4 linked regions of the Arabidopsis thaliana genome follow. The protein of the gene in region 1 interacts with the protein of each later gene in a pairwise test. Each region holds a gene or a part of one and is shown in the gene's direction. Other genes may lie near its edges.

Region 1 (7,055 bases):
CCTCCTCCGCCTGAATTAGCTTCCATTTCAATCTTCAATTGATCGATCGGAGTAGAAAATTCGGTGAAAGAAATCTCTTCACTGAAGAGTTGAAATTGACGTCTGATCTGGTAAAGGAAGTGCGATTGGAAGAATGAGGAATTGGTGGAGGTGAGAGATTACGGAGCAATAAGGGTTTAATACCGGACCGGATGTTTTAAACCGGATACATTGTTTGGTCGGGGTCCGAACATTTCTGATTGGTCGGATATTCAGATTAAGCAACAGATTAATTTTTCTTGGAGTAACTGCAATTACGTATAATAATTCTTTTTTTTAAAGTTGGTTTTAGTTTCACTGATAGTCAAACCGATCGGTTCAACCTTATGGTTTGATTAAAGATGTGTTATAAGGAGCCGATGCCACGTACTTTTACTAATCTCTTTTTTGTCGACCATTTTTGTTTCTGAGTTGTTCTTCTTGATTAGCTTTGTCCGCTTGGAACCAAACATGGCGAGTCTTGGCCATATAGCCAGAGAATCATCAGACATCACACGCCTCGCCCAGTTTTACAAAGAGGTAACGACACCTAATCGACGTTTTCAATTTCTTACACTTTTCTTTTTCTTATCTCTCTTCGTATTCTCTGTTCTGGGTTTGTGTTGTTACTACCAATTTCGACCCAAAAAAACAAACGCACTGAGTCGATTACCCATCTGGATTAGAATCTATGGTTTGTAATTTGGCTTTTTATTTAGAGATTTGTGTTGCTATTGTGGCTTTGTCTCTTTCTCTTGTCACTTATCTCGTTTCTAGTTTCTATTGAGAGTGTCCACTTTTGGATGCCTTTAATCCTTTTGATTAAGTTAGTGTTATCTTCATCTTCGTGGTTTGTTCTGAAACCAATGGATTATATATGTATAATTGTCAGGTGTTTGGGTTCGAGGAGATCGAAAGTCCTGATTTTGGAGACCTACAGGTGGTGTGGCTAAACTTACCAGGTGCTTTTGCAATGCATATTATCCAGAGAAACCCTTCAACAAATCTTCCAGAAGGTCCTTACAGTGCTACCTCAGCGGTTAAGGATCCTAGCCATCTCCCAATGGGTCATCATATCTGTTTCTCTGTCCCAAATTTCGACTCTTTCCTTCATTCTCTCAAGGTATTGTTTCTTTGGCTTGTTTACATGAGCTTTTGATGGTACAGTTATGGATATGATTGGTATCTTTCAGAGTTATTTAATCGATCCTTTCTCGTCCTTGTTATGATGTAGGAGAAAGGGATAGAAACTTTTCAGAAGTCTCTTCCTGATGGAAAAGTCAAGCAAGTTTTCTTCTTTGATCCTGATGGTAATTAATCTCTGTTTTGCTCTTAAGCCGGCTTAATAACTATTATAACTTGGTCAGATATATGTCTACTTTTCTTATTCAGCACAAGCATTTGCAAATTACAGTTCTTGTGTATTATATATTTATATGCATTGATGCTTTAGTACTTTGGTCTATCGATCCGGAACATGTGTTCTAGGATTATCTTTCAGCGATCCTGTCTGTTTCAACTTACAGATTCTGTCGTCAAATTTTGCAGGAAACGGATTAGAGGTAGCAAGTCGATCATGAGCCTTGAACCTGAAATATGTGGTATCACTACTTATAGAATGAAATAAAAGTATTGTATAAATAATCAGTTTGTTGAAATAAAATCTATATGTCTAGGTTTGATGTTAACTTGTGACAGCTTACGCCTCAAAGTTCGTGTCATGTGCTTTGAATGTTGGATGTATCGAATTTATGAGCTTTTCCTTGTCTAGTAGTTCCCATGTCTCTATTACAACACCGAAGAGATTGGGATAGTTATAATAGAGAGAGAGGACGATAGAGACCCAACTAAGAACAACCATACATTCACAACTCGAGATATTTTATTCATTTATTGTGAAGAGTTGTTTTGGTCATATAAACTCACCCGGTTCAACCCGGATTGAACTCATCAAACGTATCATTTCTAACTTCCGGTTGACTTGTATTGCTATAAAGCTTGGTCGAATCAGACCTAAACCTCAGATATCGAGGCTAAATTATGGTTGGCTAGATCATAGTCGGGTCGTAATTAAACCCAACCTGAAGTGAACCGAATTGGTGGTCATTTGCAACATCCATGTGTAGACTGATGACCCCAAAAATAGCAAAATAGAGAAAAATGTGTTTCAAAATTCCAGTCTAAACAAAATAGGGCATCAATTTGTGGGGCTAAGTTGTTGTCCATACCCCCAACATGGCAAGAGGCATAATGGTGTGAAGGCATTACAAACATTCTACAACTTACCATAATCTAAAATCTTATGATCCATCAGTCGCCGCTTTTGTGGTTCTTATTTGGTGATGGAATATTGGCGGACGAATCATGAGTAGCTTATGTAACAACAAAGTATGATGATAGCTATATTTTCTGTTGTGGCCCACATAAATTTATCCATATGAAAGATGAGTTCGAATCTTTTTTTTTTTTTCTGGTGCCGGATAACTACGCGAAGTGGTACCACCGGTCCACCCTAGCCTTGGCACGATGATAGCTCAGCTGTGCATTTCGAGTGTTATCCGATACGATCTTTACCAGTAACGAGGGATAACCCTGAAAATATATAGGCTACAAGCAAAAATAGTCGCTAAACTATTGAATATATGAAACACAACAAGTTTCAAACCTTTCACCAACACGACTTCACATTAGTCTCTATAACCAAATCATAATGAGATAATTCACAAAAACATGCTTCCAAAATACTTATTATATTGGATGCTTCATTTCCATTTTTAACTTGCTTCTATCCATTGTCTATTCTCACCCGCCAAATTACCAGCAACAGCAAGTCATAACTGATCGTTAGTCCTTAACTCCTTATTAGTTATTACTTGATTCTACATGTACAAAAATAGCCAGACTTAGTTATAGTCACTGGTGGCTAAAATATCTTTAGGACTTGATTAACAAAACAAATATTGACCGAATGACCTGCTTGGTCGGACCAGTGAAAACTCGACCTGACCTTGTGAATCGGACCGGTGGACCAAAAACCAGGACCACACTAGGGAAGTATTCGTACTTGAACTAACGTCTTTTGGCTTTACGTCATGATGAGTGGACCAATCTAGGTGGTGGATGAATTTACCTCCTCGTGAGCTCTCTCTATTCTGTAATTGCAAGGACACTCATTCTTCATGTTTTGCAGTTTTTGTAACTCTGACAAACTATAAGGTTATATGAATAAACCAAAATTTATAAATACTATCATTCACGTATAAAGAAAGACCTCCCCATGTTGAATTCAGCTTTGTACGTCAGTGTTTCAGAAAGAAAGTGAATAATTACAAAATTAGAAAGTATCAAACCAAAAGAAAGAAAAACGCTAAAAAAGTAAATATCTGATATTCAGATTCACTCGAAAGTACAATACCCTTTAGGGAATATATGTTTTGTAAACGTTTCATCAATATAGATGAAAATTAAGGATCCTAATAACTGCATTTAGTCAATAGTAACAAGTACCATTACTTTGTTTTGCAAGTCGCAACACAAGTGCATGTGGTGATTGGTGAACACATAGTCAACATTGAGACTCTCGGTAGCTACATAACGATTCTTGAAAATGAGATAAATCAGAAAATTGATAGTAATTCACTTATTCATTTATAAAAAAAAAATTTTTGGCAACATTAGTATATAGAAATTTGTAAATTACATAAGTACCCTTTTATAAACGTAATGAGACATTTGTGTATATATATGTTACAAAATAAGCCAACATATCCATTTGCTCGAGACATTTATTCTCTTAATTCTTCTCTCTCTCTCTCTCTTAAAAATGCCAAAAATCTTGTGGAAAAGCCTCCATCTTTGCTTCCCGTCAAATCTCACCAAATGCTATTCTTCGCCGTGTATTCCTCCGTCCTCCGCCGATCCCGACGGTATCATCCAACCTAACCGTCCCTCCATCGTTCTTCTCAATAACTTCAACCTCCTTTACCACAATGACAACCACCACCACCCCCATCGTGTCATTGACTTACCTTCTTCCTCCACCACAACCACTCCGGCCGCCACCTCCTCCTCATCCACGTCATCATATGAATCTGATATCTCTCCTGATGTATCCGCCGCTTTTGCTTCCCGTCGCTTCTTCTTCTCTTCCCCTGGTCGGTCCAATGCAATCACCGACTCACCAGAACCCCGGTCAAGAGAATTCTCTGATAATTACGATGATGCCACTATCACGTCGACAAAGAAGAAGAAAAAGAAGGTTTATGATAATTCCGTGACTACTACTACTACGAGGCTTATAAGCGGAGGAACCGCCGTAACTCAACACGTGGACTCACCGGATCCGTTAACTGACTTCCGGCGATCCATGCAAGAGATGATTGACGCCGCCATCGACGCCGGAGAACTTAGTCGTGATCCGAACGACGGTTACGATTTCTTGGATGAACTGCTACTCACTTATCTCTCTTTAAATCCAGCCGACACACACAAGTTCGTCATCAGGGCTTTCTCCGACATATTGGTCTCACTCTTGTCGGAAGAACGCCGGATATGCTGACGTGGTGATGGCCGCCGGGATAAAAAAAAAACTCCCGTGCAATGAATGCAACACGTGACTATTAGTTCAGTGAACCTAACTTTCTTTTTTCCAATGTACGTCTTCATGGAAGAGTAACTAAGCAAACCAGAAAAAATTATTACTGACAATTTCATATTTTGTATGTTTTATTAAAATAATTGAATGATGCAAAGGATAGAAGAATTTTGAGATAATTCATATATTTGGTTGGATAATATAAAGTTAGATATTTTATTGACGAAAAGAACTTCTTTTAAATGGTTTATAGTTTTAAAAAACAAAATTCGTTAATATAAACCGCACAATATAGCAAACCGGGATATCAAAACTGGTCCACTCCATGATTGAGTGAAACAGACATAAAAACATGTTTTTGTGTTGAACATCACTATTGGCAAAAAAAAAGAAAAGTATTAGAACTAGAAGTGAATTTCTAATGTGATATGAATAACAATAACTTGGTTCGGAGGTAGAAGTAATTAAAGAAATGGTTTAAACGTTAAAACTTATGAATTAACAAATAAATCAAAGCTAAATACGTCCAAAAAACTTTATGATAAGAGTTAAAATGGAACTTGGTTGGATCAATGAAGCATAAGGTTGAGTAGACAACAATATCACCAAGGTACAAAGCTTGAGGCATCGATAAACTCTCTAGTTGCTTATATTATGTCAAGGCATGCATGGATCGTGTTTTAAATATTACTATGTATCCATACTTTAATAAAGAGGCATATATAGTTAATGTTTCTACAATATATAAAGTAAAAAAAGTAGAAGTTTTTACTTTCTGTATGTTGCCTCAGTTCTTAATGTTGCCTTCATGGATGTATATGTATTATCGTTAAGACAACAAAAGGATGCTACTTTTTGCTTGTATAGTTGTATTGTTTTGTTTCTGTACAAAATATATAGACTCTGTAATATTGTTTTTTTTTTGTGAAGAAGTAATATTGTTTGTTACATCAATTAAATAATGAAATCTATTATTTTCCTTTGCTTCTTTCCATAAGATTTACACGTAACACAATGTGAGACAAAACAAAATAATTGAGAATCCTAAGAGACGGATGTTGGAAGGTCCACTCGACCAAATAAACTTAAAAAATGTAGCTAATACTTTAAAATAAGGGTCTAATTAAACAAAGTATTATAAGTTAGTTGGTTTAGGTGAAAGTAAGACCATGCCATTTGTCTTATTGATCAGTGTTCACTAAAGAATTAAAACTAGCCTCTAGACCCGCTCAATTGCGAGTAAAACACTCAACTTAATCTAATTAGTATAAGATTATACATTTCAACTATAAAGGGCTAAATAGCTCATATTTGTTAACACTTTGAATTCATTAGTGAACTAGCTAAATCTCATTTTTGCAATGAAATCAGCATGTCTTTTATTGCATGAAAGGTGCTTATGGGCGAAGTTGCAACTAATTTTTTTTTTTACTTTTGGTAAAAAAGTTGCAACTAAATTTGACTATGATGAGTTTACAATTTACAAAAAATAATAAAAAATGACTATGATGTTATATATTTATAATTAGAGAAAATGTGCGTTTTGTTAAATCGTCATGTATATGTAATAACTGACTATGATTTTATCGTAAGTTAAACGACTCAAAACGTGAGCAATCTTAATTATACTTTTCGAGTTGGTAAATGGTGCCTTGTTTTCTGCCGCTTGTCTCCAACTCTGCCTAACCACTTGGTTGATAATGATAAGTCAATAGAACCTATGCCACAATGTTTATGCGTGTGTGTGAGAGAGAGAACAAATTTGGGTCAAACGTACAGTAGAGTTTCATATGTCCATTTGACCATTTCGGTGCGAATTGAAGGTCATTTAGATAGGAAATTATCTGTCAACCACCTCACTGTTTTAAACGAATCAGAAAAAGAATCCGAGAAGAAATAATTTGCTTACTAGCTAGATTTAAGTGTTGAGATTTTTTTCAATGCAATTGCCATTTTCTTAGCCAAGCCTTTCTCCGAAATATCCCGTAAATCACAAAATACTTGTGATTACATCCCATAACGAGAATACATTTTATAATGGTCTAATAAACTCAAAAACTATAATAGTGTATAAATAATTTGTCGTTGAAATTAGCAAGTTGCCGTAGTCAATACAAATCATGTGATATCACATGTTACGACTTACGAGTTTAGACGATTTTTATTTATTTACTTATAAATGGATCCATGCATGTTATTTTCTGCAAAATTATACAATCACTTTTGAGTCCAATAACTTAAAAGTTCCACACCTACCTAAATATGGGTCAATCTCAAGATATGAGATCACTATCGAGACAAAATAAAAAGTTTGATACTCATGCACTGCATTTGGATTTCTTACCTTTCCTATCAAAATTAAAGTTATACGCTTTATTGAATTGTCAACAACATCCTAAACACTAATGCCGTGAATATTTCGGTTACTACTATGCCTTTACCG
Region 2 (9,551 bases), on another chromosome or scaffold:
ACATCTACCGGTTCAAGATCCACAGAATGCCGTGGCAACGCAGCGTTTTCTATATAGAAAAGTCACATTATAGATTAAGGTAAACCCATATGGGACTAGTAGAGTTATAAAGATGATTGGAATTTGTCTTCATTCAAAGCAAATTGTTTTGTTACTCTCTGATATAATGTGCCAAGACCTTTACCTTGTGGTCCGGGCTTAGGTCTAGCGATATTGCAAGACAGTTTCGTCATGTTAAAGCCTTCTTCAACAACCCTTGTCTGAAAAGTCACAAGGGAATTGCATGCATCTGGATCCTTAGCAATCAAGGTTATATAGAAGGCGGAATATACTCTTGGAGATCGATAATTGTATTTCTCTACGCAACTGAGCTGCAAGTTCGTCCCCTGACATACATATATATCAACAAGAATTGATTAAGGGAATCACTCGATTGCAAGAAGAAGAAGAACATATATACACAAGAGGAGACAAGTTTTTCACCTGTATCATATTGTACTTATGGATCCCCATCCTAGCAAAAAGGACAATATGGGCGTTGTAATCATCATTATTATCAAACTCGCGACAACCGATCACACAAGAGGATGGTTTTGTGTCCATTAAATGCTCGATGTCGAACCCCTGACACACATTATTAGCATACAGAAACTTGAGTTAGAGTTTCGGTCATATATCCAAGCAACACTAGAGGCGATTATAAATCCAAATTGAACACAAATTACTGAAATAGGGTTAGGGTTAGGTTTGTGGATAAATTCAGAGAGACATCAAACTAAAAACCAAGAAGATGAAAGAATTACCCCAGCCTCCCTCACTCGGACCAAAAACTCGTACTCCTCCATCACTAAATTTCTCAACTTTTGCTTTGCTTGGCGGAAGCAATCGGTTGACGCCTGATGCCTATAAAGGTTTAATAATCTATTACGTTTCCTCCACGCTATATGCCATTAAACTGCAGATTCATATATGGGCCTTAATTGGGCCTCCACAACCCAATGTACAATTGTCGAGTTTGTCCATTTATGAATTTTTATAAACATCGGGCTTTTGAAGAAACAAATTGTTATTAACCATCTTAATTATCTCCTTCTGCATTTGTAGGTTTGTGTTGACTATGGTAGAGGTATTCTTGAAGAAGAAGGTCAATGGTCCTAAACGAATAAATAGGACTATATGAAGAGGATGCGAGGACTCGGGAGTTTTTCTCTGAAACATAATTTTATATATTTATTTACACATCTTCTTCAGCCCCATTCTTTATGACAACGAATTTTAGGCAATTAAAAACTTCTAAGTAGACAAACCTCTATGAGATTTCCAGAGATATCTGATTCCCAAAAGTAATAAAATGTTTAGTGACCCTAAGCTTTTTTAGTTGTTCGATCAAGTAGAAACTTGGCCAATGCGATTCATTTGTGGCTAGATTTTGTGGCCCAATAAACTTTTTGTGAAAAAAAACACATATGTGCATATTAATATAATTTCGTGAATTTTGTTATACTAATCAAACAAGAATTAGTAAATCTTAGTATTTTTATGTTTTGAGTTATATGTTCGTTCACACACAATAGAAAATGATTTATTAAATAATATGTATCCATATATACATACACACACTAACAAAAGGTTGTTCTTAGGCATTAAAAAAATTGTTTTTACATCCCAAATTAAAACAATGATTGATTATGTCTTGTTTGCTTAAAATTTCCAACAGTAAACAGTCTTAACCTCAAATATTTCCACATGCACCAAAACCAAGAACTCTTAATTCATTTCCTTAAATTTTGTCTTTGTACTGATTTTCTATTACTTTACTAACCATAAATATATATATACTAGCTAGCAAACAATGAAAGTGGTAGGTCTTTATTCTTTACATGATTTTTAATAGTTGATGGAATAGTAAGTAACCATTATTACTGTACAAAAAGCTTATATCTTCCCCACAGCATTTAGATGCGTAAATTATTGTCATTTCTTACAATTGACAAAACAAATTCAATAATTCAACTTGCATCGTATAATCCTAATCTTAAAAAATTATCAAACCAATAACACACCAATCTACTAAAAAAATAAGAATTCCTCTACCATAACAATATTATTATTAAAAACAAATTCCTTACAGTCCAGTGATACCAGTCCCACCCAATATGAACTTAGTCAAATAGTTTCATTTTATTACATGACACACGTATAACCAGCTAGCTAAGATTAGGTTTTTCTTTTTTTTCCCTTGTAGATTTTAATTCATTTCTTTTAATACCAGATAAATAATTTTTCGACTTAAAGTTTGCAAGCAACTCTTTTGTCCGAATAGAAATGTGGGTTCTTATCAAATTCCCCAAAGTTAAGATTTGCTTAAAATATCTCCCAAAAAAAGATTCGTGGGGGCAATTATTCTATAAACTCCAAATCTTTCTCCTCTACTCCTTTATTAAGTGTGCTTCTACTTTTTCATTTTTCAATCAATCTTTTTCCTATTGTACTTCTCTTTTTCATCACATTATGAAGGAAATATATATATATATATATATATATATGTAGGAAATTGATTCGTATATACGGATAACCTTACGAAATAAAAATCTAAAATATACAACAAACTGTGTGCCCTGAAAGGTCTTACAATTTTACACTAAGTGAAGTGGACAGCATGCTTTTCACTAGGTTTCACTCTTACGTCCCCGTGTCGGAGTAACTTACTCAAATTGATGGGAACCTTTGTTCTCTATTTGACCACTATAAATTTTCAATAGTTTTTGATATTTCTCCTATTTATTCGTCACTTAAGTCCGACCCCTCAGAACTTATCATGATTAGTTTCTTGTTTGTATGTGACGACGAGAAGAACAAATAAGATTCATTGCTACAAAACTCAAGTACTAGTGATGATAGTTAATCGCGGATTGCTGAAAAACAAATAAGATTCGATTAATACGATTTATTTAATGATTCGGTTAAAAAAGAATAAGATTTTATCTCCTAACCTAGTAATGTTTTTGAGCTTCTAACTTTGTCTTATGCATCGTCGGTTGGTAGTGCCTCCAATCAAGTAAATTAAATTATATTCTTTAATCTTATTTTCTCTATCGATTTTCCATAAAAATTCCTTTCCGTTTGTCTTATATCGTTCCTCGTGCTGCCGGAACTAAAACTGGAAAAAGGTTCGACTTTTACGGAAACCTATTTTTGGATTCAGATTTTCTTAGTTTAATCAAATATGTGAAAAATATAAAAAAAAACAAATGAATCTAAGGATCGTCCCCAACATTATCTGTCGATGTATGGGCTTAGGGGACATGAATTATCAAAGGGCGTTTTGGGAATCAAATCTTGGACTGTCTATCGGTGTCACTAGGGCCAAAATTAAATTAATGTCGTATAGTATTTTGATGGAAATGAAGTTAATGCTTCGTGGAATAAAAAACCTTTAATGTTAACTTGTTTTGAAAATTACTAATAAACATAATCGAAACTATATACAATATATATTTTAAGGTGATATCTCACTGTCAATGTGATATTATTCTTTTCCCATTTCTTATTTTCCTTAAATTTTATCTTATCACGTAAACAAAATCACTTTCTCCACAAACAATATATAGAAGGAAAAAGAAAAGCTTTTTCAGGTATTAATTAGACGCAATATCATATTCAATTTATTCTTAGGCACCCAGCCACCAAGTTCGTAATGTTCGGTATAATTCCAAACTCCGATTTCAAGGAGGACAAAGAATTAAACCAATAAACAAGACAAACAACAAGTGACGACGAGACTTCAGTTTTGGTTTTAATGTATCTTCATCTCTTAAATTTCATGCAGGTGTATTTTTTATATATAGTAGCATTTTATCAACAACTAAACAAGTAGCTATGGTTGTTCCTTTTTTGTTTTCTAAGAAAATATCAGCCTTTGATTCTTATTTTAAATTTTCTACAATGATATTATCAGGAAAAAAAAACATATACACACACGCATCTTTCAGTTTCAACACAAGTGTCATTTTCACATGTAAATCTGAACACAAATAATCGAATAATTCCATACATTATTGTTTTATTATACCATCATTAAATACTGATATGTGATAGATGATATCTACATTGTAACAAAATATGCCATATAAATTGGTATTTTCCTTTACATATGAAGAAAAGGGAAAGGAAAAATTAAATGGAAATTCATGTTTCACCCAACCCCTTTATTAGACTCTTAAAGTGTCATTTTCTCAAAGGGAACAGAGAAGAAAGAGACTTCTCATTTCCCTCATACCTTTTGCCATCCCTATTTTTCTCTCTCTAATTCTTTACAACTGCTTTTCTCTTCTCACCAAGAACAAAAATTCATTAAGTTAAGAAGAAGAAAAAAAAAACTTTTTGAAATAAATAACATTATACCCCTCCTTTTTCCCATAAAATTCATCAAGATTATCTCAAAATCATTCACCAATTCTCTCTTCTTATGGAGCTTTTCCCTTCACAACCTGACTTGTACTTGAAGATCAGCCGAAGAAGAGAAGAAGAACAAGAAAAAGAAAGTCAAGAACTACAAGAACAAGAAGTCGAAAGGAGATTAGGGTTTCAGAGTAAAGCCTCAGATTTAGACAACAAGTCTTCAAATAATCTCATCCACACTCTCCAGTTCACTTCAAACAATGAAGCCACCAAGATTAATAGTAATCAAGAACACAAGGAATCTCTCGATCAAGACTTGAGATCTATTTTTATGATGAGACCAATAAGAGGAATCCCTCTTTACCAGAATCAAGTCCTTGACCACTACTACTACTCATCTACCTCTCCCAATCCTTTCTTCTTCAGTGAAGTCAACGGTCAACATGCTAGTCGTCGCTTAATCACAAACCCTAATTGTAGTTTTAATCTCCACAACCGTCATCGGCGTCAAGCTCAACCGCAGCCGCCAAGATTCACCGCCAAAAGAGGAGTAAGGGCTCCAAGGATGCGGTGGACGACGACCCTCCACGCCCATTTTGTACACGCTGTTCAATTATTGGGTGGTCATGAAAGTATTGTCCTTTTTCACTATTACCCCTTTTTATTTAATTGAATTTATATCTCTTTTTCATTTTTAACAAAAAGAATAATGAATAGGCTTGATCAAAAATTCTATTTTTATTGACTTAGTAATTATGATTAATATCCAGGAGCAACCCCAAAATCAGTACTTGAGCTGATGGATGTGCAAGATCTCACATTGGCTCATGTTAAATCCCATCTACAGGTAATCTTCTTAAGTTACAGGTACATAATGTATAGGTAAATAAATGAATTTATTGTATTATGGATTTGAATATGCAAATGAACCAAACCCACTGCACTTTTTTATGAAATGGCTAAAAGAAAAATTGTGATTAATTTGGACATGGTTAAACTTTTGGTCGCCCCCATATATATATATATATATATATATATATATATATATATATATATATATAAAGAAATTATATACAAAGTGAAGAAAGAAAAAAGATAAAAAGAGAAGGAATCAAAAGCAAGATATAGACAAAGAGTAAGAGAAAGAGTCCTTTTATTACTAGAGATGCAGTAGAAAAGTAAAAGTACAAAGGAGACATCATTCTTCAATGATGATATTTAGATTGATATGCACACATATATGTATATGCATGATTCTTCAATGATAACAAATATATAAGTTGCTGTTTTGCATAATTTGACTATAGTCAGAATAAGGCACGTAGACCCATGCACATCTCCCATCTCTGTGTATGGCTGCACATTTTCATGAATCGTAAATGCTTTCTGTTTTACTTTGATCTCTTTTTTTCTTACTTTATCCATCTCTGTCTCTGTGTGCGTGCATATCTAGGTTATAGCCTTATATACACACACGTGAATGCCTGAATGGAACAAGTCTAAACACACGAACATCACACACACATTATATATAATTCATGTGTATGTATTGATCGATATAACTATTAATTATTCTTATAACTAGCACTTATATATAATATTAGTAATCTAATCTATAATGTTTCAGATGTATCGAACCATCAAGTCTACTGAAAAACCTACAACGTCATCAGGTTATTTGATTGATTATGTATTTGATTTAATTAAATTATCTGTTAAATACTATACATCTGATAAACGTGTGTGTATAGGGCAGTCAGATTGTGAGAATGGATCACAAGTAAACAGTGAGAGAGAAGCAAGAAATCTCACGGGTCTATGGAATAACTCCTCAAGGTATGTTATGTTTTAATATTTGCCTAAGTAGAATTTAGTATTTGTTGGACAGATATGTATATACTTATTAGGCAACTTTCTATATTTGCATCATATGAGAAACTTAATATATATAATATTATGTTAGTTGAGCCAAAATCATTAGCATTATATTATTCTTTTTTGTTCCTTCAAAAAATCAATGTGATATAATTTGAATCTGTATAAACAGTGAAGCTCGGTTCCAGTTGAAGGCAAAGGCATCATCAGGTGTAGACATTTCATCCAATGAGGTAACAGATTTCAAAAATTTAACCAAAAGGGCATTGGAATAAAACGGGACTTGCAAAATTCGAGGCTGAAAAAAAAGAAAAAAAAAGTTTTTATAAAGGATTATAAGTTACTTTTTTTCTCTTCCATTTGGGTAAAAAAGTGTTTTTCTTCTTTTGATTTTGTCTCAAAAGCAGAGAAATTAAAGACTTTGTTTTGGAGAGTTGATATCTATGATACTTTATTTTCAGAACCCAATTCACTAGATTTGATTGTCTTTAAATCTTCAAAATAGTTTAATTGGAAATTTTGAAATAGAAAGCAAACTGAAAATAAAGACACAGTCTATATATGAAATGTTATATGAGATGATTCTTATAATATATAATCTTTTATTCTAAAATGATGTCAGAATGAATGGAAGAATCGAAGATGTCCAAGCAACGAACGGTTGTCGTCAGATTCGTCAAGCCTTACAGGGACAAGACCAGAGACTGAAACTCCCAATCTTGATTTCACTTTAGCTACACCAAACCTCTCTCCCTAATTTTCTTATATATACTAAAAATACATATTATCTGTTAAAAATTATATAAATCTCAAACTTAAAAGTTTATGCTTTTGAAAAAATATATATGAAATGACGTTTATTTCTTCCTTTATTCATTTTTCCTTTTGTACTGTAAAATTGAGATGCTTTTTTTTTTGGGTCATAAATTTGAGATGCTTGTTCTTGTCTTGAATGGGAATAAAATTATTTGGTCATCATTACAGCGATGCAAAGCTATGACTCATCCACGTGTCTAAATCGGACTGCTTTACTTCTTAACACATGGTTCTCTGACACGTGTCTGACACTTGTGACGTTGACCCGACGAAGACTTTCACTAATTTTTTCTTCTAATTATTCATTTTGAGTAAAGCCAAAAAAGAGAATAAAACGAAATACATTACAATCTATCCATAATTCCAAATGTTAAGAAAACTAACCAACCATACGAAGATTCTTTTTATTGGTAACCTTAACAAGAGCTTTAGACACATGAAGCATACGATGATGATAATGAAAATACGTAGTAATTACATAATCTTACTTAAATATAGTATATTTTACTAAAATTTTAGATTGGTCAAATCAAAAATACTTTAGATGAATATAGCAAAAAAGTATATTTGAACAGTAAAAATATCGGAGGCTATTTCTAGCTACAACGCAAATATCATAATCTTATGGTGGCAAATGAAGAAAAATACTTACCGGCGAAAAGGCCTTATCACAAGTTGAGCCGTTTTAATAATCAATTTGGACTTTATTCGTCGAAGTTTGGCCAACAACACTTAAAACGGAGACACTTGTTTTAAAGAAGAAGATGATGGGGAAATAACTCAAGAACTTGAATTTGTATTCTCCTCCATAAAGTAAGATCTAATGCTCTCTATATAACAAAGATTATTTGTAAATTTTAGGCACTCAAAATTGTTACATTAACTTACTTATTTATAAATACATTTATTAAAAAAAAAATACAAAGAAAACCGATCGAAGTCAATGATGTTCTTCTGTTTATGCTACTTATACGTTAAGCTTGTTGAAGTGATCACATCTACGTCTCACTTCTCCATCTTTTTCGCCTTTAACACCAACCCTGCCTAGTTTCTCCATGGCACGTGCAAAATCCTCGAAGAAAGCCGTCTGATTATTCGCATATAATTCTACAAACGGTCTCGTGCTAGGATCTTTAAACAATATATGGTCGGAAGCTAACAGTCCAAGACCTCGTTTCAAGTTCTTGAAATACATATTATCGAATTTTCCCGGTGTCACCGGATCGAGAAATGCTGCCATCGTCTTATTGGTTTCGAAATTCTTGCATAGATCTTTAAGAACTCCTGCGAATTTCGCGTTGAGTTCTGGATCAACCTTCGGGAATATCCGGTTGCTGAATTCTTTGCAGTGTGAGAATCCGATTGTGTGCCCGCCACTTAACGCAACCAGCTCCTTTAGAGTGAAACCATTCTTCTTGAATATCGATAACATGTCGGGGACGGATTGGTTCGCTAAAGGTAAATTTCCTTTGACTTTATGGGCTTTTGACTCAAAACCATCTTTACGGCCCAGTTTGACTTCATAGAAAGGCCCACCAACCATTGTGACAAGGTCACGTGTGGCCTGAGCCAGGATGTCTGCGCAGGACACCACCCCGGGACAAGACAATTCAAGAGCGGTTTTGATGCGAGTCACAATGTCGAATGCATCTCCCGGAAGCGACTCGTTGAGGTCATCGTCACGTTCGGCTTTGTTGAAAGAATTTGTAGCGATAAGGACGGAAGCATCACATCCTTCCATGAAACAATCATGGAAAAAGAGACGGAGTGTTCCAGCAGCTGTCGTTGGCTGCTGGCCTTGCTTTGGTGTAACGGTTTCACGTACGATTTTATTGAAATCGGGACATGTTTTTTGGTAATAATCTTTTGTTAAATTTGGTGGTGGTGCCGAGTATATAGACGGGACAAAGACTAGGACGACGAAGAGAACATTTATAACCGAAGACATTGTGTATTTCACGAGACTCGTATCGATTTGTGAAAGAAATATTGTTTGTAAAATATGGAAACGGAATTGAAATGTAAAGAGATGTCTATGAGGTAGACTTCTTTATTGAATTGTTATCGGTGAAATATAGAAGCATGTACGTGTGGTTGGAGTTTGGCTTTTGTTATGTTCTTTTTATTTCAGTGATTGGTCTATATTTAGTTTGTTTTTACTTTCATTTTTCATTAGAAACGTTTTCTAACACTAATTCATTATAAAATCGATTGGCTTCTAGGTTAATTAAACCACAAACATGGAATGCATGCTAATTGGGGAAATGTGAAGGTGATTAATCACTCAATTGATTTGTTTTGTATTACTACTCCTGTTTTTGAAAGAATTTTGGAATGGTGATTAATCAACTAAAGCATCTACAGAAAACATTATTGATGGTTAGAGATATGAAAATTTAAATTGATAGGCTAAACATACAAGCAAACTTTTACTTAATCTAATGTTGCTCTTGATTTGA
Region 3 (8,354 bases), on another chromosome or scaffold:
CTTGAATTTGTGCTTTGTACTAATAGATTGTTGAAAAGTTGCTTCAATTTCGCTATGATGATATTTATTTTAAATTTAAGTTTTTTTATTAATAAATATGTTATGGTACATTTCATATCAATCGAAACTTAAGACTTCTCCATTGTAATTGAATTTAAACTTAGATTCATTGGGCCTAGCAACATTATTGAGTTTGGTTAGCTATTTGCTACTCATCTCACTTGTCTTAACTTTTTATTGTTTGCATCCTTGCATATAAAATGATAGAACACGAATATCCATTGCGCCCTCTCGGACTGCTTTAGAAGACTATAACCCAATTCCCACTACTGTAATCAGGGCACCGTGATGACACAATTACATAATCTCAAAATCCTCACCCGCATTCGTTTGGAGCTGTGTACACCTGACAGACATTCACACTCTATCTCCTAAAGAAGTTAAGAAATAGGTTGTCCTTGAATAGGTAGAAACTGAAGACAATGTAGTGAGATTCAAACTAACCAAATGATCCCAATATCTACAATGCAAAGAAACTGCTAGTATCATGAGCTCAATGGAAGCAAAAACACTACCCATGGCTACAACCTCAAACTTTCGACATTGGGAATATGGATGCAAATGAAAGATCAAGATCATGGACCTTCATAGGACAGCCACGTGTTGCTACTTCCGTTGACATGTGCATAGGACTTAGGTTGAACTAATTAATGTCTAGGCCTGCTTCTTCATCGTTTTGCATTTGATTCTCTAGGCTTAGTTCGGCCACAATATGTTTTACATATCTTCATGACTTTACATTTTTATGCCTTGCTAATGTGTTTTTGTCACTTAGTTTTAAACGCTACATACCTTATATGCTGCATAAATCCTTTATGGTATCTTTCGAGGAAGGAGGCTGGGGATCAATCTTTGTGGGAATACCCTTCTATTGTTGATGGTGTCAAGATAACTCCGTTTGTTCTCATCCGTATCATTTACCTTGAAGCAGGTATAAATTCATCGGAATTTACTTTTAGAGGATTCATGATTGTAATAGTTGCTAGTTACATCTCAAGCCCTACTAGCACGCAAAACTCTTGAAACTGTGCATAGTCTAGTAGTATATTGAGATATAATTAATGGTTATGGACATTTTACGGTTTGAATAATAAGTGACAATCTATGTCAAATGTGTTTTAAGTGTACTTATAAGAAGATAATAAAAGCCTCTATGACTATGAGTTGACGAATTTTCAACACGATTTGAGTTTGAATAATTTTGGCGACCGACCATTCGAGAGACATGGGCACTATAAGGCATATAGGCCAAAGCAAGGACGTTAAAAACAGTTTACGAGTGGTCGTTAATTGGTTAATGTGTACGATAGATAGTTGCATATTTTCACATACTATATTAATAAAACATTACTTATAGGAAAACGACGAGAGTTCCAATAATTGTGGAGTAGCCGACAAAAAAATCCCGGGAGACACGTTTCAGACATTTTAAAGAATCATTGCTGGCGACGAAACGTGCCTTCGTGGCACTTGTTTACTTTCCTATTGGCTATTTGGTTATATTCATTGCACCTCTTCTACATTTTCTCTAAGAAAACATTATATTATCATATTAAGAAATAAATACTAAAAACATCATGCTGGTATTGTTTTTCTTTGATTTGAAATAGGTTTTATACCCTATAATATATAGTTGTACTATATACCGTATCTCATTTGAACTTAAAATCAAATATGATATTTAGATAACTAGTTGACATTTCTAAAGGATAACCAAAATAAAATAAAACGAAAGTATTACCTGTTTCATTACCCACACGTTGACCGTTATACAAACAGTTATAGATAATATATCATCATAATTAAAGGTCAACATTTCATGATTTATTAAGTAGTTTATATAACATTTTGCAATGAGAAACCCGACAATTTATAGTATGGCGCCAAGATTACGAAATCTCAAATACCTATCTTTTAATGGGAGAGTTTTAAAATCGAAAAACGAATATTTGATGAGAGTTTTATTTTATTTTTTGAGTCGTGCATTACAAATATCACTGTGAAAAATGTTGATCGATTTACATAAGAATCATAATCGTCCATTGGATATATAGACAATGTGATTTAGAAGGTTATATATTTGTTTGTCTAAAGAAAAAATAATATCTTCAATTATATGACACAGTTTACAATTCAGCATAGAAAACAATACAATAAGCTACAAAGGATTGTTTTAAATAGATTTTAAAACACCATATTATCATCTTTAAATTTTGGCTTCTTGAGATGGTCTGGATAAATAGAAAATTATTAAAATAAAAAACATTGTTAACTACTAATTTTATATTAAAAATACATTTATGGAATGCTTAAAGGAAAATGGGGAAATATATATAGACAGTAATACTAGAAACCAATCTGTTGGTCAAATATTTAGAGCCAGTATCCAAAGGGATTGAATGTATATTAGTATATATAAGATATCATAAATTCATAGAGAATACAAAATTCACAATTCTTAATACAAAATACTTACCTATATGAAACTTTTCAATTTTAATGCTATGAGCTTGTGCAATTTAAAAGGCTCTTATATCTAGCATATACTAATATAATGCAAAAACAAAAATGGTAAACTAAGTATTTTTATTCTATTCTAAAGAATGTCAAATTGTATGCTTTTAAATGTTTAAACAAAAATCATGGAAATTTGGTATTTTGTAAGAAATTGAAAGCGCCACAATTCTGAGCTATTTTAAGGAATTCTTCAATAATTTTGTTTTTTTAGCATTATCATATATGTATCAGAATTAATTAGTGAGTACTGGCAACATTTTTTCCCTTTTCTTTCATACTCTGCCAGCTTTTGTATTTAAAACTATGATATTTTTTTCTATATCATATTATGTGATTTGTTTACATTTTCAAAGCAAAATGTAATAATTTCTATATATTTTATGACAATGTGCATTTTTTACTTTATTTTTATTGGTTGGACTGTGATTAGATAAATCATAAAATATCTTTTGATTTAGTAAAATAAAGAAAATCATTAATTTCTTAATATGGAAAAATTTAAACGTTTTTATTTTGATACAAAGAGAGTAATTATTTTGTAAGTCTTTGGGCATGATAAGTTTTTAGTATTCAGGACTTGGTAGAACTACAAGAATCTCATTTAAATTCCATTGTAAAAACTAATTGATAAAACTAATACAAGTAAATTAGTATAAATAGGTTGTATTTTGTTTTTTTTAAAGTATAAATAGATCGTACGGAACTACTTACTGTTTTACTATTTGTTTATCTAGACCGATATATTTAGATACAGCTCCCCATGAAATTAAATGCATTAACAAATTTTAAAATTCAAACATACGCACCAATTAATTTAAAGCTATTATTTAAATATTTTATAAAAAAAAAATTACATGCTACGATTTTATACCATTAAAATAGTAAATTTACGTGCCTTAGAAAATGTCTATATTTGGTACTTGATTCCTATTTGTTTTCAAAAATACTCGCTTTATGTTTAGGGGTTATATTTTTCCCGCTTAAGCATACATCTACATTTGATATTTTTCTTATAGTAGACATGATTATATTTTTTATATTGATATTAATAATTTTAGGCTATCAAACAAAAAATAATTTAGGCAGAAATAACCATTTTATGGGCATGTTAATTTTTCTTTTTTTTAAAAGAAGTGACTATATATTTAAATAAAGAATCTGAACTAGAAATGGAATGAAACTCAAAGGAGATAAATAAGAAATTTTTACCATATCCTTACACAAAGAAATGTGTCGTTTAGCATGGTTTTTACAGGCCTATTATCACCACCCTTTCGCAGTCTCTTCTTATTTAATGCTCATAATATATATAGATACACAAACATACATACATACATGTCTCTATCTCTTCTCTCTCTCTGAAGGTCCCAATAGCTTCTTTGGTTTGAATTTGGTGGCCGAAGCAACACAAAGGTCTCAAGAGTTTTCTGGGTATATTCTCTTCTTCCTTCGATTTCTCTTTATTTTTGTTTTTGTTTTGTTTTGCTTTTACGTATATTGTCTGCTTGCAAATATTGTTTTTTGACTTGTTGGGTTTGGTCTATCTGATATTTTGTCCGATGGGTTCCATTTTCACTTTTGCAAGATCAAGTATTTCAGTAGTAATACGGACTGGATTGTTTTGTCGTTATATGCTTTGATAAGAATCAAAAGAAAGAAAAAGATCGATGCTTTTACTGTATAATCATTTGATGATAAACCATTAATCTTGTTTGTGATTTTCTTTTACCTTCTCTAAATATTTCTCCTATATTATGTACTTAATCTCTTTGGTAGTAGTTTTCCTATAGTATTTATTCAATCCCTTGGGAGTAATAACTAATGGAATTTGGATCTCTAAATCTTTGTGTTATTCATATGATGAATCTTATTTCACAAGTTAGATCTCTCGATCTTTCACTAAAAGTCTCTGTTTTTTTCTTTTGTGTTATGTTATTGCTAGAGAGTTTTAATTTAGATTTTGATAAATACGGCATTACTAAATGACGATGATTATGCAATTTTATTCTTAAAGTGAATCATAGTTGATGACATTATTTGCAGATTCTATGGATATGTATAACAACAATATAGGGATGTTCCGGAGTTTAGTTTGTAGCTCGGCGCCTCCATTTACAGAGGGACATATGTGTTCTGATTCGCATACGGCTTTGTGCGATGATCTGAGTAGTGATGAGGAAATGGAAATAGAGGAGCTTGAGAAGAAGATCTGGAGAGACAAGCAGCGTTTAAAGCGGCTCAAGGAAATGGCGAAGAACGGTCTAGGAACAAGATTGTTGTTGAAGCAGCAACATGATGATTTTCCAGAGCACTCTAGTAAGAGAACCATGTACAAGGCACAAGATGGGATCTTGAAGTACATGTCGAAGACAATGGAGCGATATAAAGCTCAAGGTTTTGTTTATGGGATTGTGTTAGAGAATGGGAAAACGGTAGCGGGATCTTCTGATAATCTCCGTGAATGGTGGAAAGACAAAGTGAGGTTTGATAGGAACGGCCCAGCTGCTATAATCAAGCACCAAAGGGATATCAATCTTTCTGATGGAAGTGATTCAGGGTCTGAGGTTGGGGATTCTACCGCACAGAAGTTGCTTGAGCTTCAAGATACTACTCTTGGAGCTCTGTTATCGGCTCTGTTTCCTCACTGCAACCCTCCTCAGAGGCGGTTTCCGTTGGAGAAAGGCGTGACACCGCCATGGTGGCCAACGGGGAAAGAAGATTGGTGGGATCAACTGTCTTTACCCGTTGATTTTCGAGGTGTTCCGCCACCTTACAAGAAGCCTCATGATCTCAAGAAGCTGTGGAAAATTGGTGTTTTGATTGGTGTAATCAGACATATGGCTTCTGACATTAGCAACATACCCAATCTCGTGAGACGGTCTAGAAGTTTGCAGGAGAAAATGACGTCAAGAGAAGGCGCTTTATGGCTCGCTGCTCTTTACCGAGAAAAGGCTATTGTTGATCAAATAGCCATGTCTAGAGAAAACAACAACACTTCTAACTTTCTTGTTCCTGCAACCGGTGGAGACCCAGATGTTTTGTTTCCTGAATCTACAGACTATGATGTTGAACTGATTGGTGGCACTCATCGGACCAATCAGCAGTATCCTGAATTTGAAAACAACTACAACTGTGTTTACAAGAGAAAGTTTGAAGAAGATTTTGGGATGCCAATGCATCCAACACTCCTAACATGTGAGAACAGTCTCTGTCCTTATAGCCAACCACATATGGGATTTCTTGACAGGAACTTAAGAGAGAATCACCAAATGACTTGTCCTTATAAAGTCACTTCCTTCTACCAACCAACTAAACCCTATGGTATGACGGGTTTAATGGTTCCTTGTCCGGATTATAACGGGATGCAGCAGCAGGTTCAGAGCTTTCAAGACCAGTTTAATCATCCCAACGATCTCTACAGACCAAAAGCTCCACAAAGAGGCAACGATGACTTGGTTGAGGATTTGAATCCTTCTCCTTCGACGCTGAATCAGAATCTTGGTTTAGTCTTACCTACTGACTTCAATGGAGGTGAGGAAACAGTAGGAACAGAGAACAATCTGCATAATCAAGGGCAAGAGTTGCCCACATCTTGGATTCAGTAAAGAAAGCTTCAGAGTTTTCTTTTTATGTTTTCTAGTCTTTATAGCTTTGTCTCTTGCTTATTCTCTCATTAAACACAGTTTTTGATCTCTCCATTTCATAGCCCATGTAGCAATGGAGAAGATTAGGTTTCATAATAAGTTAATAACCAAATTCAAAGTAATTCATTATGTGATTTGAAGAGCCTCTCTTTTTGACAAAAGAACAGTAGAAAATGCTTTATTTGTTTAGACTTTAGAGGTGTGTATTTGTGTTCGCCTTGGGCTTCAAGGAAGAAGGCGTTTGTAGACATTTTTAATATTAAATAATTTAAACTTTGTTGGTATGATAATATTTTTATTTATGTCTTTTTATTATGTCTTTTTATAGGGAATTGTTTTCTATAAATAACAGATTTTTTATGTGTTAAATTAATTTTGTGCCTTTAAAAGAGATTAATGGTTAAAAGATGTATTTCTATATAAATCTCAAATTGAAAAATCAAATAAACTAAGTTTGACGATATGCTATTTTAAAGTTAATATGAATAATTTCAGAAATATTTAAATGATATTTCGCATATTAAATTCATAAAATAAAACTATGTGAAGACCTTACTATATAAAACTATACCTTTTTCGGCAAATCAAATACTTATATTATAAAGAGTTTACAAGAAATATAAATATTTCCAATACAACCGTTGATACAAATAAAGAAAATCGAAACAATTGATTATAAAAGAAAAAAATTCAATGTATTGCTATAATTCACTATAATGATCATATTTACTTTTTTGAATCTAATGTTAAATTATATTCAAAAAAAAAATGTTCGTTGTACAATTTAGTGGTTCGTGAGTTTGAAAATAAATTTTAAAAAGATCTAAAAGAGTAAAAAAAAAAACGCTTGTAAAAGAGCAGCTTGGTTTGGTGACCTCAGGAGCTTAAACTCTAGCAAGGATCCATGCTTGATACGCTTTGTCGTACCGTCTATCTCCTCTTGTTCGAATGGTGGAAATATGAATACAAATTTGTTTATAAATCCATTTTGTGATAAGAGCCCCCGGATGTGGTTCCTTTTTGTGCCTTCTTCCATTCCTCTCCTTTCAAATTGTATAGACAGTGGTTTGTAGAGCATAGCGAGACAGATAGCTCTCCGCTCTACTTTGCTTTGGTTCGATACATAATCCAAGACTTGAGCCCAGTCGGTTCTGTACTGATTTTGAAGATGCCCTTTGTTATTGCCTCCCATATCGTCTCCCATATAATGATCACATCACTCATCTACAAATTTGTATTTATTCAAATGATCAAATCCTTACCGGTTTTTTCTTACCACTATTCCATTCCATGCTAGGATTGGCTGCATCCTCTCATTTCAGTCAAGTTAAGCTCTTTTGTCTATTACTTTATTTCATTCATTTTCTTCTTCAATATTTTTTTTTTTTTTTTTTTTTTTCTTCTTCAATTTTTTTTCTTGGCAAAAATGTTTTACATTGACCAATTTTTACATTCCGTATATTCTATTAAAACTTTCCATTCAAGGTTCCTCCAATTTCTTTCTCCATCTGTACTAATGGAAAATTTAATAGATAATCAACAAAATAATATATACTCATTAAATAATTGTTATTAAAAGAATCTCCAAAATGATATTTGGACGATATTCATGCAATCACGTCCTAATCTCCAAATATGCACTTTCTTTATCTTATAATAAAATGATTTACTCCAAATCCTTACTGTCACCAAATCAAAACCTTCATTTCATCTGCTTCGCATTATTTCTCTGATTCAAGAAAAATGACGGTCGAGAAACCACAAGAAATGACCGGCGATACAAACTCCGACGGATTCCTAACTAACAAAGACGTTCACAGAATAAAGCATCCATCGCTAGATACCAACGATAGTTCCTCCAGCCGATACTCCGTCGATTCTCAGAAATCAAGAATAGGACCACCGCCTGGGACTTACGTCATCAAACTCCCTAAGGATCAGATCTACCGTGTTCCTCCACCGGAAAATGCTCACCGTTACGAGTATCTCTCTCGCCGGAAAACAAACAAATCGTGTTGCCGGCGATGTTTATGCTATTCCCTCTCTGCTTTACTCATCATTATCGTCCTCGCAGCGATTGCCTTCGGATTCTTCTACCTCGTTTACCAGCCGCATAAGCCACAGTTCTCCGTG
Region 4 (8,821 bases), 4.0 Mb from region 1:
CTGGTCGATTACCTTATGGTTCCTCTGAAAACGAAGGAGAAGAAGAACTCGTGAATGTTTTGAGGAAGTGGCACAAGGAAGAGAGATCTTTGGCTGAGATCTTAGACCCAAAGCTTCTGAAACAGGATTTTGCGAATAAGCAGGTTATTGCAACCATCCATGTCGCTTTAAACTGCACGGAAATGGATCCAGATATGCGTCCTAGGATGAGATCTGTGTCTGAAATTCTAGGTCGGATCAAATAGGAATTAACCACTTCTTAAAGAGCCGGGATTAATTAGTTGTGTATGTATTAGTCTCAGGCTAAGTGGAGTTTTGTAGTTTCTATGGCAAGTTTAAAAGGGTTTAAGGTTTATTTCCGGATCAAGTGTCTGTCTCTGTTTATCATCACATGTACCTTGTGTCTTAAGGAAGAGAGTTTGGTTGTGAAATTATTTGCCCCTTCTAGAATCTTACACAGATAATATTAATAAGGAAATTATGATAAAGATCTTGTTTCAAACCTTATCAGGCTTTGTAAGTAAAGATTAAAATACGAAAAAATGTTGACAATCCTTGCAATTTGCATGATTGATCCTATCTTTCCAAAACTCAAAAGAATTATATAATATCACCAAGTGGGTTTATAAATTATACATGTATTTTAAATTGTTTGTTTTCATTGGTCAAAACTTATATTCGATTTTGATAGATGCATAGATTTTTTGAAAGATCATGGTTAACAAAAAAAAAAAAAAGAGACTCAATAGCTCTTTTGTGAGCCTGTTCTAATTAAATATTATGAAAACGGGAAAATAGATTATACTCAATCGCATGATTGCATATCTCTTGCGCATGGGGGATGTGAAATGAAATAAATTTGAACCGATCGTTAGCAATAACATAAGAAATGAGAAAGAAAGGCAAAATCAAATCTATTTCGAATATAATTTTTTGTCAGAAACATCAAACATGATCAGATCCCACCGTTGGTCCTTTGTTCAAATTGACAACAAAAAGTATGACTTTTATAAACCAAAAAGAGAGAGATCTTCATGGCAAAACATATCTTGCCCCCAGCACGATTGATTAGTTCCAAATTTAGCAGCCCACTCGAGAAAATTAAATAAAAAAGGAGAGAAACACTTGCTTAATATAGAAGTTTCTTTTTGGAAGAAAATAAAAATAGTGAAGCCCCCTTTTTGAGCTTGTTGACATTATAAAAGCCAAAGCTGGACCACGATTCCCCACTTCTATCAATGTAATCTATTTTTTCTTAAGAACATAAAAAGATTTTTAAATAAATTGATGGGAATCGTTTTGTTTTTTATATTTATACTACTATCAAACAGTATAAAAAACAAAATGTACACAACAACATTGAGAAACTAATGGGGTCTCACGTGTCCATGTTCCCATCCACATAGCCACGGACGGGATTTGCTTTCTAATTTTCCACATTTCTTTAGGCCAAACCTTTATAAATGGCACTTGATATTTGCTTCTTTAATTTCAATCTCTTTTTTTTTTTCTTTTTTTTTTGGGTGTTTTTCCCGTTGTATCCATTGCATTTAGAAGAAAATTGTTGAGACCACTGATTTTCTTCGAAAAAGAACTTCAGCAATGAAGAGTTTGTTTTATGCACGTCTTTACAAAAAAAAAAAAAACTAAGAGATTATGACCTGCATTGAAGTGAGAGCACTTGAGAAAACTTGTGTGTGATGATTTGGAAAATAGTTGTTATAGATAACTAATCATATATTGGTATATATGGATTCCTTTGAAGAAATACTGGTTTGATTTGAACAAAAACATTTGTTACGTATGATTAAACATACTTTTCATTGCACGGTGATACGAAATTTTGATTCAGTTGAATTAGATCAATGTAGTTTTGAGTTATATTTTTTATGTTTGCCCATTCGTTAGTGATATAAAACAAAGTATCATCAGTATATAGCTAGTTTCGAGATAGTATGTACAACTTTTAAATATTAATTACCTATGCTTAAATAGTAATAGTATTATGTATGTGCATGTGCTTTGTACATACAATTTTGTCTTCTTGTTGATTAATTATTAAACAGCTCGAAGTTTTAAGACTATGTAGCTTAGCCTATGTCAATGTCATCAATCTATATGCAATATATATAGAGCCTCAGGCACATAAACCGTAGTCCCCATATAAAAAAGGGAATGAAACAGCTAATAACTCCATAGAGAATAAATTCACATTCAAAGCAAATTCACCACCCCAATCTTCTCAATGGTTCGGTTTCTTTTTTCAATTCTTACATTGTACTAAAAGCTAAAAATTCAGACTGATACGATACGAATAGGTTTTTGAAAATATAAAAATTAATCAATTTCCATTAAAGGGCTGAATAGCTAAAAACTCCATAGAGAACAAGTCGCTTTATTGGATTTAGATTTTAAAAAGACGGCGCTCGTGAATTATTAAAGTTTAAACTAAGATAAGATTTAAAGAGATTTAGAGGAGACGTAATCTGGTGTATATCGTTCACATAGAGTCACGTCACTGTATAATCCATCGACCACTAAGGTTTTAGAGTTTAGTTTCAAATCTTACTTTTTCATGCAGGTGTACCGTATGTCACACAGATTATAGTAGTCGCCAACTTACGTTCCCAATGGGTGATAACGGCGTCAACGTCCTCCGTCACGATCGTGTCGTAAGCTGTACACTGTATAGGTTCCGTGAACCTTAAAATCGGATTTGGAAAGCTACGTACGTACGTAAATATTGGTTAAAAAGTTCAAACAGTTTTGATCTCTCTTTTATTACAAACAAACTGTACTTCCGACAATTTTCTTTCTTTCTATTTCAAGTACGTTTTCGTGTCTAACTATATTAACATCTAACTTCTGACTTTTATACTCTGATGGGACAATCTTTAATTCTTAAATTCTAAGTTGTACCATGCGAATGGATATTAGATTTTGTCAGTACAATTGCTGACTATGAATGAAGTACTCTAACATCATTATTGGTTCCTGAATAATGAGTACTTAAACAAAACAAATTTGAAGTAACGTAACCATGACATATTAGATCCATGTCCCCTAAAACGTATTAAAATTATTTCCTTACGTCGTTAAATTTCGAATCTAGTGTTAAATTGTTACATTGGTTGTTAAACTACCGACCCAATAAAAAAAAAGAAACTAATATTTATGATTGGTGCATCTTGTTGTAAATTGTAATCGTATGGCCTACCAGCGATTTCATTGTCCCCAACATACAGATATTTTTGTTCGTGTGTTATAAATTAGGGTAGAAACATCACATATTTTACAGAGACAAAGAAAAAAACAAGAATCGTAATAAAATGATATTATGGATACATGTAGATTATAAGATGAGAAATAATAATTTGTCACGGGTCCATCAGTATACTCGTCAAAATTGATTAGGTAGGTAATTTACTTCACATGCTCTTCCTGTATACAAGTATAAAGTATGTATTTTCATCTAAAATCTACTCTTTTCTCAATTACATTTTATATAGAAAAATTCATATTCTTAAGAAATAGTAGTAAAATTGTTCTTGAAAAAAAATATGAAAAGGCATTTTCCGTGACTCAGCCTCACAGGCGGCTTAAAACGACGTCTTTTTCAATTTTAATAAATTTTTGGTAAAAAAGCTTTTGGATCCGCCGCTATCTTCAGCAATTAAAGTTGGACGCAGAAACTCAGAAGCAAAAAGACGATAAATATTCATCATCACCTTCATCTCTCTCTTCCTCTCATCAGACTTCACCGTTCTTCTTTCTCTCTTCTTCATCTTCAGACGAAACCTCCTTTACTTCCCCTTCAAGGTTTTATATTTCCCAAATCCTACACCTGCTCACATCTCAAGCTCAAGTTTTGTTTTCCCGGGAAAAGTGACACAAACAAGAACTTAACAAGGGAGAAGAAAAAGCTTATATTCATATCAACGGTTGACGTTGGAAAGCTATTAAGATTTGGTTTTCTACAAATTTGTTCTTCCTGAAACGTCACGAGACAGAGCTTACAAGAAGAGAAAACAGAGGAAATTTCGTTGCATTTTTTTTACATATTGATTCGATTAATGGATTCAAATAATCATCTCTACGACCCGAATCCCACCGGGTCGGGTCTTCTTCGTTTTAGATCAGCTCCGAGCTCTGTTCTCGCCGCTTTTGTTGACGACGACAAGATTGGTTTCGACTCCGATAGGTTGCTTTCAAGATTCGTGACCTCTAATGGCGTTAACGGAGATCTGGGTTCACCTAAATTCGAGGATAAGTCTCCGGTTTCGTTAACGAACACCTCTGTTTCATACGCCGCCACTCTGCCGCCACCGCCGCAGCTTGAGCCGTCGAGTTTTCTGGGTTTGCCGCCGCATTACCCGAGGCAGAGTAAAGGGATAATGAACTCGGTTGGTTTGGATCAGTTTCTCGGTATCAATAATCATCACACCAAACCAGTTGAATCTAATCTTCTCCGTCAAAGCAGCTCTCCAGCCGGAATGTTTACTAATCTCTCTGACCAAAACGGTACCGTTTTGCTCTCTGCTACAAAGTTTTTCCCCCTTTTTTTAGTCTGAAATATTTTTTTCATTTATAACAGAAGTGTTTTTGGTACTTCTTGATTCAACTTTTTTGAATGTTTTAACACTTGCTTCAAGATTTTTGAATGTTTTACGTTCCTTGAGAATAATTTTAAGACAAGATCTGATTTGATTTTGTCAACCATAGAGTTAAAGCACTTTGGACTCAACAAATCTAATAAGTGTTTACTATATACTTACAAATTTGCAGGTTATGGTTCAATGAGGAATTTGATGAATTACGAAGAAGATGAAGAGAGTCCATCTAATTCCAATGGATTAAGACGCCATTGCAGTCTCTCTTCAAGGCCACCTTCTTCACTTGGAATGCTTTCTCAAATACCTGAAATCGCACCCGAAACTAATTTTCCATATAGCCATTGGAATGATCCATCCAGCTTTATTGATAACTTATCCTCACTTAAAAGAGAAGCCGAGGACGATGGAAAATTGTTTCTCGGAGCTCAGGTAACTCGGTTATCTAACCGGTTTGTTTTGGTTATTGATCAGTAGCTGAAAGTGGAGTTGATTTCTTGGAGTGGTTTCTAATGATGTTTTTGATGGGTTTCTACAGAACGGAGAGTCCGGGAATCGTATGCAGTTACTGTCGCATCATTTGAGCCTACCAAAGTCATCATCGACAGCCTCGGACATGGTTTCAGTGGATAAGTATCTTCAGCTACAAGATTCTGTTCCTTGTAAAATCAGAGCCAAACGTGGTTGCGCTACACATCCTCGAAGCATCGCTGAACGGGTAACTTCACCTAGTTAAGGCCATCTTTACATATATCAATGGAAGTCCATTTGAAGCAGAATCTAGTTTGTTTTCAGAAAGCCTTTCCTAAGAAATCTTGTCAATTGTGTCAGGTAAGAAGAACGCGGATAAGCGAGCGAATGAGGAAGTTACAAGAGCTTGTTCCTAACATGGACAAGGTACAGTTTTCAGGAACTTCCTTGTAATGACTTTTGATCATAAACAAATTGTTAAATGATGTTGTTTTCTTTATGTTTTAACAGCAAACCAACACTTCGGATATGTTGGATTTAGCTGTGGATTACATCAAAGATTTACAAAGACAGTATAAGGTAAAGTTCCTGATCATTGTGGAAAAAAAACAAAGGGGCCTGTTTAGTCTTCTGTTGAATTGATTTAGTCTTCTGTTGGTTTTACACAGATTTTAAACGACAACAGAGCTAACTGTAAGTGTATGAACAAGGAGAAGAAGTCAATATAGGGCGCAACAAAGTGTGTAGTAGATAGGACTAAAAAGCAGGGAGAAGGACAAGAAAGAAACAATGTCATGTCTGAATATTTTTTAGCCGAAACAGACCAAATTGTCTATGTAAGCTCTCGAGAAAAGCATCTGCTTCCAACAAAATTCTAAGTAATAAAATAGTACTCGATTTGTTCTTATTTCATTATTACAATGCAGAATCTACTAATCAAATGTTGTACTACAAAAGGTAAGATCAACTACGGTAGCTAAATGCGAAAATTATGACCAGAAGAACAAAGAAAGACTCGAAAACTAAGCAGAAAACATAAATTATTCTTCCATGTGATCTGCAGCGTCAGAATCTTTGATATCACCAGTAAGACTACTCCTGGTCACAACCAAAGTAAGAATCACACATGAAGTAGAGTGTATACGACTTCTCTCCTGGTTCAGTTGGTACTGCAAACTCCAGCTACGATGCAGAATCTAGTAAGCAAATGTTGATATTACAAAAGGTAAGATCGACCACAGTAGCTAAATGCGAAAATTATGACCAGAAAACAAAGAAAGACGCGAAAACTAACCAGAAAACATAAATCATTCTTCCATGTGATCTGCGGCATCAGAATCTTTGACATCAACAGTGAAAGAATACTCCTGGTCACAACCCAAGTAAGAATCGCACATGAAGTAGAGTGTATACGACTTCTCTCCTGTTTCAGTTGGTACTGCAAACTCCAGCTTCACCTGCGCCTTCCGTTGCAGGGAGATTCTCTTGATGGCCATCAACTGGTTCGTCTTGGCTTCTCCAACGACTAGCCACCAACCTTCTTCTTTAGTCTTAGGATATCTTGGCGCGTCCACAGGTCCCACCTCGGTCCTTCCCTCCATGTCTCTCTCCAGTAATACCTGCAATGTGATATCTTTTCCAGGGCTTACCTCGTTACTTCCCACAATCTCATATGTAAGGTCAATGTTGGGGAAGCGGTTGCAGAATCTGGCAATGTCAAGAAGCTGAGCGTCTGACATTTGGAGAAGCTCTTGGCGTTTGTCATCTTCCATTTCCACAAGATCAAATATGGTTTCAATGTTATTCCCCGGATTCTCATGGCACCTTTTGGCTAAGTCCTTTGTGAAGTGAGGAAGCTGCAGAAGCATGGAGTCTCGATCCCACATGCCTTGAGTCACCATCTGGCTTACTTCCATAGCTAAAAGAGCAAGATTCAGACAGCCATTGCTCGATATCACATCGACCATTGCTTGAAGAAGCCTTGTTGCTGATAAAAGGACCTCACACTGATCCATTACAAGGTTCCCGCTGATTTTTTGCCTTGAGAAATGCGCCTGAAGAAGTGCGCTTGTCTTCACACGAGGGTCTGTGCATCTTGGGTTTTGAAAAGAGAACCTCTGGTGATTGATGAGTCTCCGAACTGCGTCCTCTTCACCAGGACGTATAGGAATCAAGTCATACTCCGAAGCTGAAGTCAAGATCTCAAGAAGACCCTTCATCTTGGTCTTGGAAGCCAAGAGAGAACTGAATCGCTCAATGGTGGTGTAATTTATGTAGTAATATGACGCAATCATACCAAGATTGAGAGGAGAGAGATCCAACTCATTGTCTATTTCAATGCATTTACTCACTTCAAGATCAGACAAAGTGTTTTCAACGAGCTCTGAGAGGTGATCAGATAAATGTCTGTGGCTCACTCCCAGGAGATTGTAGTAGTTAGGGTTCTGGGGAAGCCTCCTGTACATGAAGCTCCAGGTAAGATAATCCACAGCATCTTGTTTGTTCTCTATAACTCTAGCAACTACTTCTGCATTGAAATTATCATGCAAGAAATGTTGAAGATGACTCTCAACCGGAAGAGCTTCATACAAAAATTTCTTGTAATACTCTTTACGTGGTGCATGACAGAAGATCACACACTTCCCAGCGTCGTCAAGCAGAGGTCGGCTACCACGCCCCATCATTTGGAGCAGATTAGAGATGGGGTAATCCGAATGAGAATTTTCCCGTCCATCGTAGAAATGTGTTCCCATTACAACAACCAAATGTGCCTTCAATGGAGTACCCCAACACAATGAACTAGACATTACACATACCTGAATCCGTCCAGCTTCAAAAAGCTGAGTCACAATCTCCTGATCCAGATTGCTTAAACCCTCGTGCAGGTAGCCAATGCCATGGCGTAAAGTCTCCTTCAGAGTTTCCTCACAAATTTGTATTAAAAAAGGCTCTAATTCTTCCAGATTCCCTAAAAGGAAATCAGGGCTCTTCATGTTGTCCATGTGCGAGTATGCTATCAGATCCACAGCAGTAAGGCGGACATGTTTACGGGTCGGGACAAAAACGATAGCTGGTTTCTTGTTCTTGGCATGCTGTACTATGGCAGTGTATGTTGGCTTAGTCATCGCCTGCATCCTGGCTTCAAAACTCAATATGTCCACCCCATGAATGTGGATCTCCAGTGGGACAGGACGAACATTAGGCGGGAAGTTAAAAACGCCACATGAACTGGCCCCAATCCACTCTCCAAGATCTTTGGCATTTGCAAGGGAAGTTGATAATGCAACAATCCTGATTTTATTCCCAACCTGACTTGAAATATATCTCATTCTAGAGACAATTACCTCCAACACTTGACCACCTTGACCCCCAATTAAATGAAGCTCGTCAACGATAAACAAACTAACCTGCTGGATATATTTTCTCTGTTTCCACCTCCGGGACAGAGCGTCCCATTTCTCAGGAGTACTTATGATTATCTGACCTTTCTCAAGCAACTTAAGATCCAATAATGTCTCCCCAGTTAACTCAACAACCCGTAAACCAAGCCCCTTTCCGAACTTTTTCTCCCAATCACGAAACTGCTCCTTGGCAATAGCCTCAAGAGGTGCTATATAGACAACACGCATTGCAGAATCAGGTCCTTCGAGATGATTCCTTAATATAGCAAACTCCGCACATATAGTCTTCCCACTTCCTGTTGGAGCAGCAACCACTACATTGTCACTTGTGTTATACAA

What was found.
Region 2: the proteins of OFP16 (region 1) and KAN3 interact in a two-hybrid assay, tested with the Arabidopsis thaliana proteins (one large-scale study listed by BioGRID).
Region 3: the proteins of OFP16 (region 1) and EIL2 interact in a two-hybrid assay, tested with the Arabidopsis thaliana proteins (one large-scale study listed by BioGRID).
Region 4: the proteins of OFP16 (region 1) and FBH4 interact in a two-hybrid assay, tested with the Arabidopsis thaliana proteins (one large-scale study listed by BioGRID).

The regions. Positions count from the first base shown.
Region 1 is NC_003071.7:13,644,011-13,651,065, forward strand, and holds OFP16 (ovate family protein 16), read left to right. Parts: upstream 1-3,688; 5' UTR 3,689-3,841; coding exon 3,842-4,576; 3' UTR 4,577-4,992; downstream 4,993-7,055. Other genes in the region: PUR ALPHA-1 (purin-rich alpha 1), read right to left, coding at 1-26; AT2G32090 (Lactoylglutathione lyase / glyoxalase I family protein), read left to right, coding at 490-558, 911-1,141, 1,253-1,328, 1,567-1,598.
Region 2 is NC_003075.7:9,845,616-9,855,166, reverse strand, and holds KAN3 (Homeodomain-like superfamily protein), read left to right. Parts: upstream 1-4,239; 5' UTR 4,240-4,468; coding exon 4,469-5,033; intron 5,034-5,171; coding exon 5,172-5,248; intron 5,249-6,028; coding exon 6,029-6,074; intron 6,075-6,152; coding exon 6,153-6,237; intron 6,238-6,448; coding exon 6,449-6,509; intron 6,510-6,898; coding exon 6,899-7,033; 3' UTR 7,034-7,234; downstream 7,235-9,551. Other genes in the region: AT4G17700 (uncharacterized protein), read right to left, coding at 1-49, 185-386, 484-624, 804-845; AT4G17690 (Peroxidase superfamily protein), read right to left, coding at 8,060-9,040. UniProt on the Arabidopsis thaliana protein: Probable transcription factor that regulates lateral organ polarity. Plays a role in lateral root formation and development.
Region 3 is NC_003076.8:7,178,004-7,186,357, forward strand, and holds EIL2 (ETHYLENE-INSENSITIVE3-like 2), read left to right. Parts: upstream 1-4,585; 5' UTR 4,586-4,604; coding exon 4,605-6,182; 3' UTR 6,183-6,339; downstream 6,340-8,354. Other genes in the region: AT5G21125 (uncharacterized protein), read right to left, coding at 7,045-7,425; AT5G21130 (Late embryogenesis abundant (LEA) hydroxyproline-rich glycoprotein family), read left to right, coding at 7,965-8,354. UniProt on the Arabidopsis thaliana protein: Probable transcription factor acting as a positive regulator in the ethylene response pathway. Could bind the primary ethylene response element present in the ETHYLENE-RESPONSE-FACTOR1 promoter.
Region 4 is NC_003071.7:17,608,416-17,617,236, reverse strand, and holds FBH4 (basic helix-loop-helix (bHLH) DNA-binding superfamily protein), read left to right. Parts: upstream 1-3,645; 5' UTR 3,646-4,073; coding exon 4,074-4,521; intron 4,522-4,785; coding exon 4,786-5,042; intron 5,043-5,148; coding exon 5,149-5,328; coding exon of another isoform or gene 5,329-5,346; exon of another isoform or gene 5,347-5,441; coding exon 5,442-5,507; intron 5,508-5,591; coding exon 5,592-5,723; downstream 5,724-8,821. Other genes in the region: AT2G42290 (Leucine-rich repeat protein kinase family protein), read left to right, coding at 1-245; AT2G42270 (U5 small nuclear ribonucleoprotein helicase), read right to left, coding at 6,389-8,821.